Macaca fascicularis: one gene and its partner. The protein of the gene in region 2 purifies or fractionates together with the protein of the main gene of each other region. This does not show direct contact. Links are inferred from orthologs where the notes say so. Each region holds a gene or a part of one and is shown on either strand. Other genes may lie near its edges.

The links. The genes of interacting proteins can lie anywhere in the genome.
Region 1: the proteins of IQGAP1 (region 2) and MYL6B purify together in Homo sapiens (affinity purification with mass spectrometry; 3 studies listed by BioGRID and IntAct, with this or other methods). This does not show direct contact. The link is inferred for Macaca fascicularis from reciprocal best matches to the Homo sapiens genes IQGAP1 and MYL6B.

Annotation. Positions count from the first base shown.
Region 1 is NC_088385.1:62,940,152-62,943,896, forward strand, and holds the start of MYL6B (myosin light chain 6B), read left to right. Parts: upstream 1-893; 5' UTR 894-954; intron 955-2,174; exon of another isoform or gene 2,175-2,195; 5' UTR 2,196-2,241; coding exon 2,242-2,418; intron 2,419-3,136; coding exon 3,137-3,164; intron 3,165-3,379; coding exon 3,380-3,523; intron 3,524-3,740; coding exon 3,741-3,745. UniProt on the Homo sapiens protein: Regulatory light chain of myosin. Does not bind calcium.
Region 2 is NC_088381.1:74,924,320-74,928,064, reverse strand, and holds the start of IQGAP1 (ras GTPase-activating-like protein IQGAP1), read right to left. Parts: upstream 2,172-3,745; 5' UTR 2,071-2,171; coding exon 2,016-2,070; intron 1-2,015. UniProt on the Homo sapiens protein: Plays a crucial role in regulating the dynamics and assembly of the actin cytoskeleton.

The DNA of each region.
Region 1 (3,745 bases), on a different chromosome or scaffold from region 2:
TAAACTTTCCCGAACCAGTGAACCTTACTTACTGCCCATAAAGTTCACCTGTGCCTCACCACCCTGCCCTCGCCCGAGTTTTCTGCTCTGACCGAATCCTCACACGCCAGTGCAGCCCCAGCCTCCAACACCAGGTGCACCGCCAGTGTATTTACTGATCCAGTGAATGAAGGTGGGCCCGGCCGGGCTGGTTCCCATCCTCTGATCAACGCCTAGGGGAACCAGTAAACTCCAATGCTGACCATAAGTGTCTCAGAAAGTAGGTCTGGAAAGCCCAGCCCTCCGCTCAGGAACCTATGAAGACCGGGGAGGATAGCGCATATGCGGCCGCAGGATGGAAACCTCGATCAGAAGGCTGGGGCAGGTGACTGGGCTTAATTGCAAATTTTAACATTTACTTCAGCAACCAGTTCATTAAAAACAAACTACTCTGAGGCCTCTTTTTTTCCTACCAAACCCAAGAGGAAGCGAAAAAGAGCGCAGCCGCTCTCCCTGGGGCCGTAAGTGCTTCCAGCTATCTGACCTCCACGCTGCCTGCTGCAGCCTCAACCTTTCCCCTGGTTCGGAGTTCTTTCAGCAGTAGGTCCAGGAAAACACCTGCCCCGCTCCCCACCGCCCCCCCGCCCCCACCGCCTCCCGAGACTAGGAGCCCGCCAGGGCTAAGTAGGAGGGATACCCTAGGGACCCTGCAGGGTTTTAGGGTTGGGGTGGATTGGAAATTGTTCATTGCCTTTCAGTTCCGGGACATGGAAGGACACTGAGTCACCAAACGCCGCCATGGGCCGGAAGCCACCGCCCTAGCCTCAGCTGCAATCTAGAGCGCGGCGTATCCCGTGAGCCCACTGGGGACTACGACTCCCGGCATGCTCCGCGGCCGTCGGAATTAACCCTTCAGGGCTGGGGGGCCGCGCTGTGCACCGCCCCCTCGCCAGCCACAGACGCGGACCCCGCAGGGTGAGTTTTGGGGGGCTGAGGAGGGCCGCTTTCTTTAAGGTTTAGTGGGGTGTGTGAGAGTGTGTGTGTGTGTGTGTGTGTGTGTGTCTGTGTGTGATGTATTTTGTAAAAATGGGACAGTTTGCAGTAATGAGATTCAGACACTGTTTTGCGAATGGGAGACCCAGCATCAACCCCGGGGCCTAAGTGGAGTCACTGCTATCTTCCTCAGAATGCTACCTAAATCCTTTCCTAATTTCCCCCAGAACAAAAGTAGGCCGCAACCCCTCCCCACTCCCAAACACCCCCCAACTTGGACTCTCTCCCAGTGCCCCCGGCAAGGTTTGTGACCTGGCCCCTGAGTCGGGATTTTTATTATACCCCTGGTAGTGGGATGAATACTCATGGAGGCCATAGGAGTGCCCACATCCTCTTGGATTAGGGAATTTAAGCCTTCTCCCAGAGCCCGCCCTTCTCGGGTGCCACCACAGGGTCCCCACAGGTTCAGCAAGCGCCCTACCTTTTGTTTGTGTTGAATGACAGTGGTCTTGTGGAGAAGGTTCCTTCCATGGAAGAATGGGTAGCAGATGTTAAACCTGATCTTTGCCCCCACTCCTTCCCCTAAAACAACACTGCGCACTAGGAGACAATGAGGGATGTCACACTCCTGTTTCTATGACTATTCTTCCTTTATACTGTGAATAGTTTCAATTCTTGGCTGGGTGCGGGCTCAGGAACTACAAGTATTAGGGATTATTAGACTGTAGGGTTAACTACCCCTGCTCTTTACAAAGCCATGGTCAGAAAGGAGTGGAGGGGCTGGGCAGATGGGCTGCTTGTTTTTGTCATTGCTCCCAGACCACACTTTAACTTGTTCCAGTTCACACAAGCCTCCCTGACTGCTACCCCTCACCCCACCCTTCGAGAAGACTAAAGCTGCTGGATCACCTGCTTTGCCTCACCACCCCCATCTCAGTGCAAGCATCCTATCCTCACCCTGGAGGTTAACTACCTCTCATTCTGGGCAGTCCCTGGCTTCCTCCCCTACCCTCAAAGGAAACATTGTTCTTTTCTGGACAGCCTTTGGGGATGAGGGGACAGAGGGAAGAAGACCTTGGGGCAGGAGTCCTGAACCATAGGAGGCCAAGGGAGTGAGGGCAGACGGTTATATCTCTCCTCTACCTCATCCTCGCCACAGCCAACTGGCTCCCTGCCCCTGCCCCCGCCCCTTGACATCCCAGACTCCCTGGCTATTTAAACAGAGATGGGTGCCCCCATCCGCACACTGTCCTTTGGCCACCGGACATCATGCCTCCCAAGAAGGATGTTCCCGTGAAGAAACCAGCAGGGCCCTCCATCTCCAAACCTGCTGCTAAGCCAGCAGCAGCAGCAGGGGCTCCTCCAGCCAAGAGCAAAGCTGAGCCAGCTGTCCCCCAGGCCCCTCAGAAAACCCAGGAGCCTCCAATCGATCTCTCCAAAGTGGTGGTGAGTCTCTGGAAAGTGAAGATAATTGGAGGGGGTGGTTTGAGGGTGAGATACAGCCTAGGGGATTAGGGGGTATCTAGAAGGTAGGGAATCAATGAACCCTGGAATGAGATTGGGGCTTTCCCTTAGTCCCCCATTTGCAAGCATCCAGGCTTATGACTCTGCTGTTGTCTTTGCTGTTCTCTCCCTCTAACCTATAACCATGTGTGTACAGCACATGCACACTCACTTACCCCCTGCTGGAGGCAGGGACTCTTAGATGGGGAACATCTGGGTTCTGAGGACAGTTTCAAGGTGAAGGGAAAAGAGCTGTTGCCTGCCCCTGGCTGGTGATTCAACTCAAAAGGCCTGCAGCTCTGAACTCCAGGAAGGGAGGCTGAAGAGGACAGACTTGTTAGACAATCACAGCTGGGGGCCAGGGGTAAATTTAGCCTTTGTTCAGCCCCCAGTTATGTGAGGGATGCAGGGCTCAGGGCAATGGAGGGAGGGAAACAGGTGGCATGGGATTAACCCTGTTCCCAGGAAACCCTCCCCACTGTAATTCCTCTTCTTGGGATTCTCCCAAGGCCCAGAGCTGGGAATGGGACTGAGGTGGCTGGGCTTCCAGCCTGGTCCCTTTGGGCCCCTCCTCAGAAGTGGCTGCCAGTTGGTTGGGAAGAGTGCTGGAGAGGGACTGAATAAACTGTCATCTCTCCCCACCTGCTTTTTTCTTCCACAGATCGAGTTTAACAAGGACCAGCTGGAGGGTGAGGAGAAGCTGGTCTAAGCCCACTGTCCAGTCCCCAATCCCCTGGTCAGATTCTCTTTCTATTCCCCTAACCCCAGTCCCGACCTTGAAACCTCCCATACTAGTCCTCTTTTCCTCCCTTGTTCTGTTCACATAGTTTCTGAAATTCCCTTCTGTCTGGGGGTGATGGGAACCCCTAGTCAGTGTCTACACTGACCCTTCCTTATACCTTAGAGTTCAAGGAGGCCTTCGAGCTGTTTGACCGAGTGGGGGATGGCAAGATCCTGTACAGCCAGTGTGGGGACGTGATGAGGGCCCTGGGCCAGAACCCCACCAACGCCGAGGTGCTCAAGGTCCTGGGGAACCCCAAGAGTGATGGTGAGGGGACCCTTGGAACAATTCGGGTTTTTAGTTTTCAGAAGTTGAATGTTGGTAACAAAGAATGAGGTGGATCTCAGGACTTCAAAAACTGTCAAACACAGAAGCAGGAAAATATCCTAAATGCTGAACAGGATGAAAGCATTGTGGTAGGGTTGGGAGCCGGGTCCTATGTGATACTACAGTGACCTCTCCTTCATCTCTCTCCAACCTCCAGAGCTG
Region 2 (3,745 bases):
AGTTATTGAGAAATAAGTGACAGCAACTGTACTAAACATTTTACACGCATTCTCTCATTGAAACCCCACAACAATCCTGTGATTATCAGTCCTATTTTACAGATGAAGAAATTGAGGCTGGGTGAGCCCAGGCCCATGGCAAATAAGTGGCAGGGCCTGAATCCAAACCCGGAGAGTCTGTCTCCAAAGCCTGAGCTTAACCTTGAAGCAATCTGCTTCCTTCATGGGCACCAGGTATGGAATAAATTCCTAACTCCTTGGGAAGGCATTCAAGGCCTTTCCCAGTCTGGTCCCAACTATTTTTGGAAACTCTCCTCTGTCTTTCCTCCCATCACTGTGCAGTCCACACCACTCAGTTCCCAACACAGTGTCCCTCTACTCTTCAGTACCTTTGTTCATGTCCTTCCCTCAAATCCTGTCTCTTGTTCCACATGCCCTATCAAACTGTTTTTCTTTTGAGACAGGGTCTTGTTCTGTCACTCAGGCTGGAGTACAGTGGCACATTCATGGCTTATTGCAGCCTCAACTTTCTGGGCTCAAATGATCCTCCTACCTCAGCCCCAAGCAGCTGGGACCACAGGCGTGGGATACCACACCTGGCTAATTTTTTTTTTTTTTTTTTTTTTTTTAGAGATGGAGTCTCACTATGCTGCCCAGGCTGGTCTCAAACTCCAGGCCTCAAACGATCCTCTCACCTCGGACTACCAAAGTGCTGGGATTACACGCAGGAGCCACTATGCCTGGCCACCTGTCAAACTTTCTACACAGCATTCTTCAAGGTTCTGTTCAAATGTCACCTTCAGGCCAGGTGCAGTGGCTCACACTTTGGGAGGCCGAGGCGGGGAGATCATTTGAGATCAGGAGTTTGAGACCAGTCTGCCCAACACGGTGAAACCCTGTCTCTACTAAAAATACAAAAATTAGCCAGTGTGGTGGCCGACGCCTGTAGTCCTAGCTACTCAGGAGACTGAGGCAGGAGAATCGCTTGCACCTGGGAGGTGGAGTTTGCAGTGAGCTGAAACTGCACCACTGCACTCCAGGCTGGGCGACAGAGACTCTGTCTCAAAAAAAAAAAAAAAAAAAGTCACCTTCCGTGCTCATACTGTCTTCCCCAAGCCCCTTCTCCTTACCTACATTACTCTGTATGGCTAGTAAGTTCAGCATCTTTCATCGTTATTGCACCTTATAATTATTAGCATGCACACCTGTCCGGCACTCTGATTAAAACGTTCTTTGGAGGCAGGGCCTGATCTTACTCTTTAATTTCATAAATGTGGCACAATACCTCACAAATAACTGTTGATGCGTGAAATGTTGATCCTTTAAAAAAGAACATTATTCCCAGAATATAAAATAAAATCGAAAACCTCATAATCTCAAAGGGTCCTCCTTTAGCCAATCCTGCCTGCAGTTCAATGACGTCCAGGGCCGACAACAGAAAATGAGGAAGTCTTAGGATTTTGTTTCTTTTTTTTTTTTTTTTTTTTTTTTTACTATTTTACTTTTGAAATCTTGAGGAGGGAACTAAGCCCGAGAAAACTGAAGTGACTTGCCCAGGACGGCACCTCTTACCTAGCCTGGGGCCGGACAGGTCTGGACCCTGGTCTACCCCGCAGGCAATACTAGGGCAGCGCCTTTCCACGAAACGGGCAGAGCCCGCGTACCCAGACCCCAGTCCCCGGGCCACGCCCTGCGCGGTCCTCCTGCCACCTCACCCTAGGCCGTCTTCCCCAATCTCGGTCGAGCTTGGGCGACGGGAGGGGCTGGGTGGGGCTCCCCCCTACCGCGGCCCCAGCTAGGGCGGGAGGCCTCGGAGGTCCTCTCCGCCGCCTCGGACCCCGAGGGGGCGAGCACCAGGGGCCTCCCCGCCCGCCGACCCACCCGGGCGGCTCTTCCGGGTCCGAGCTGCCGGCAGCCGCCCTGCCCCACCCGCCCGGCCGAGCCCCCAAGGAAATCGCGCCTCGTCTGCAGTTAGCTCGGCCCCGAAGCCCCGCGCCGCAGAGCCCCGCACTCACAGCCATAGTGCGGCCGGGCCACGCCTAGCCCGTCAACCTCGTCTGCGGCGGACATGGCGGCCGAGCCCGGGTCTCCGCTGAAGAAGCCGTGAAACCTTGGAGGCGCGGACAGCGGCAGCTGCAGCTCCTGCCAAGTGCGCGGGCTTGCCCGGGTCCCCGAGGCCCCGCCCATGCCGTCAACCCCACCCCGCAGGCCCAGGCCCAGCGGGACCGCCCGAGCGACACCGCCCTGCCGCACCGCCCAGAGCGGCCGGAAAGAGGCGGGGCTAGCGTCACCATACCCCGCCCCCAACTCCGCCCCCTCAGCCCGGCCCCGCTCTGCATCCCGCTACCGTCTCCGTAGGCGGAAGGAAGAAGGTAGAGCCCATCCTCCAATCGGGCTCACGCTGAGCTTGCCCTGCCGGGAATGCCCGCCCAGGTTCATAGCCCCGCCCCCAGGGCCACCGCCCTATCCGCAACTCTAATCGAAAAACTGCGGGTGTCTGCTGCCTGAAATCAAAGTAGTGGGTCATCTCCCTTCTCTTGCCGGCCCAGCTAACCTCTGCACCAATACTCGGAGAAGGTGGCCCAGGGTATCTTGTCGGACACAAGCAGGCTCCAAACTGCCATAAAAGCCCTCCAACCCCACTCTCCGCAGTTTGGCAACCTGGCCTCAGTAATCTTAGATTCGGCAGCAGTCACCAGATTACCCAGGTATTTGAGATGCAGATGCTAAAGCGGAACTCTGTCCAAACTCCCTACCTTTAGATCCCTTGACATTGTTCTTTGCAAGTTCTTTTCTAAAGAACTCTTTTCCCTTACCAGGGATGCCTCTGCCCCCTGCACCTTGTGGCTTGCCCTTCAGATATTGGTATTCAACGGTATTATGAGCGCAGCCCTCTTCTGTTTTTTCTTTTTTCTTTTTCTTATTTATTTATTTATTTATTTGAGACGGAGTCTTGCTCTGTCGCTCAGGCTGGAGTGCAGTGGCGTGATCTCGGTTCACTGCAACCTCTGCCTCCCGGGTTCAAGCGACTCTCCTGCCTCAGCTTCCCAAGTAGCTGGGATTACAGGCGCCCGTCACCACGCCCAGCTACTTTTTTAATATTTTTAGTAGAGACGGGGTTTCACCATGTTGGTCAGGCTGGTCTTGAACTCCTGACCTCAGGTAGTCCACCCGCCTCGGCCTCCCAAAGTGCTGGGATTAGAGGTGTGAGCCACCGCGCCCGGCCCTCTTCCGTTTATTCTTTGCCCACTCAGTAACCTTTTCTACACTCGCCTATAACTGCTGAGGACCCCTCAATATGTATCACCAGACCAGATCATCTGGAAGTCCCTTGGTATTTTCAGCTAATGAACACTTTCACCTGTGTATAGCGCAGACACTTCAAATCCCACGTGTCAAATACTGACCCTGCTCCTGCTATATTCTCCATTCATAGAAGTACTCAATTCCCACTGGGAATACCCCAGGCTCCTTTCCTCACGCCCTACATCCAATCTGTGTTTATTTCTGAGGTGTCTACTTTTGTCTCCGTCTCCGTTGTGATTACGCTGTAGTCTCCCTTCTGCCAACCAGATCCTCACAGTTACCACGGTGTTCTCTCTAGAGTGCAAATGCAATTGTGTTTCTCTTTTTAATTTTTTTTTTTATTACTCCCTTCAAGATAATGGGCCAAGTTCAGCATGATTTAGCATGCCAAATCATAGCCTGACTCCAGATGTTTTGCTCCAGCTATTTTCAATGTATT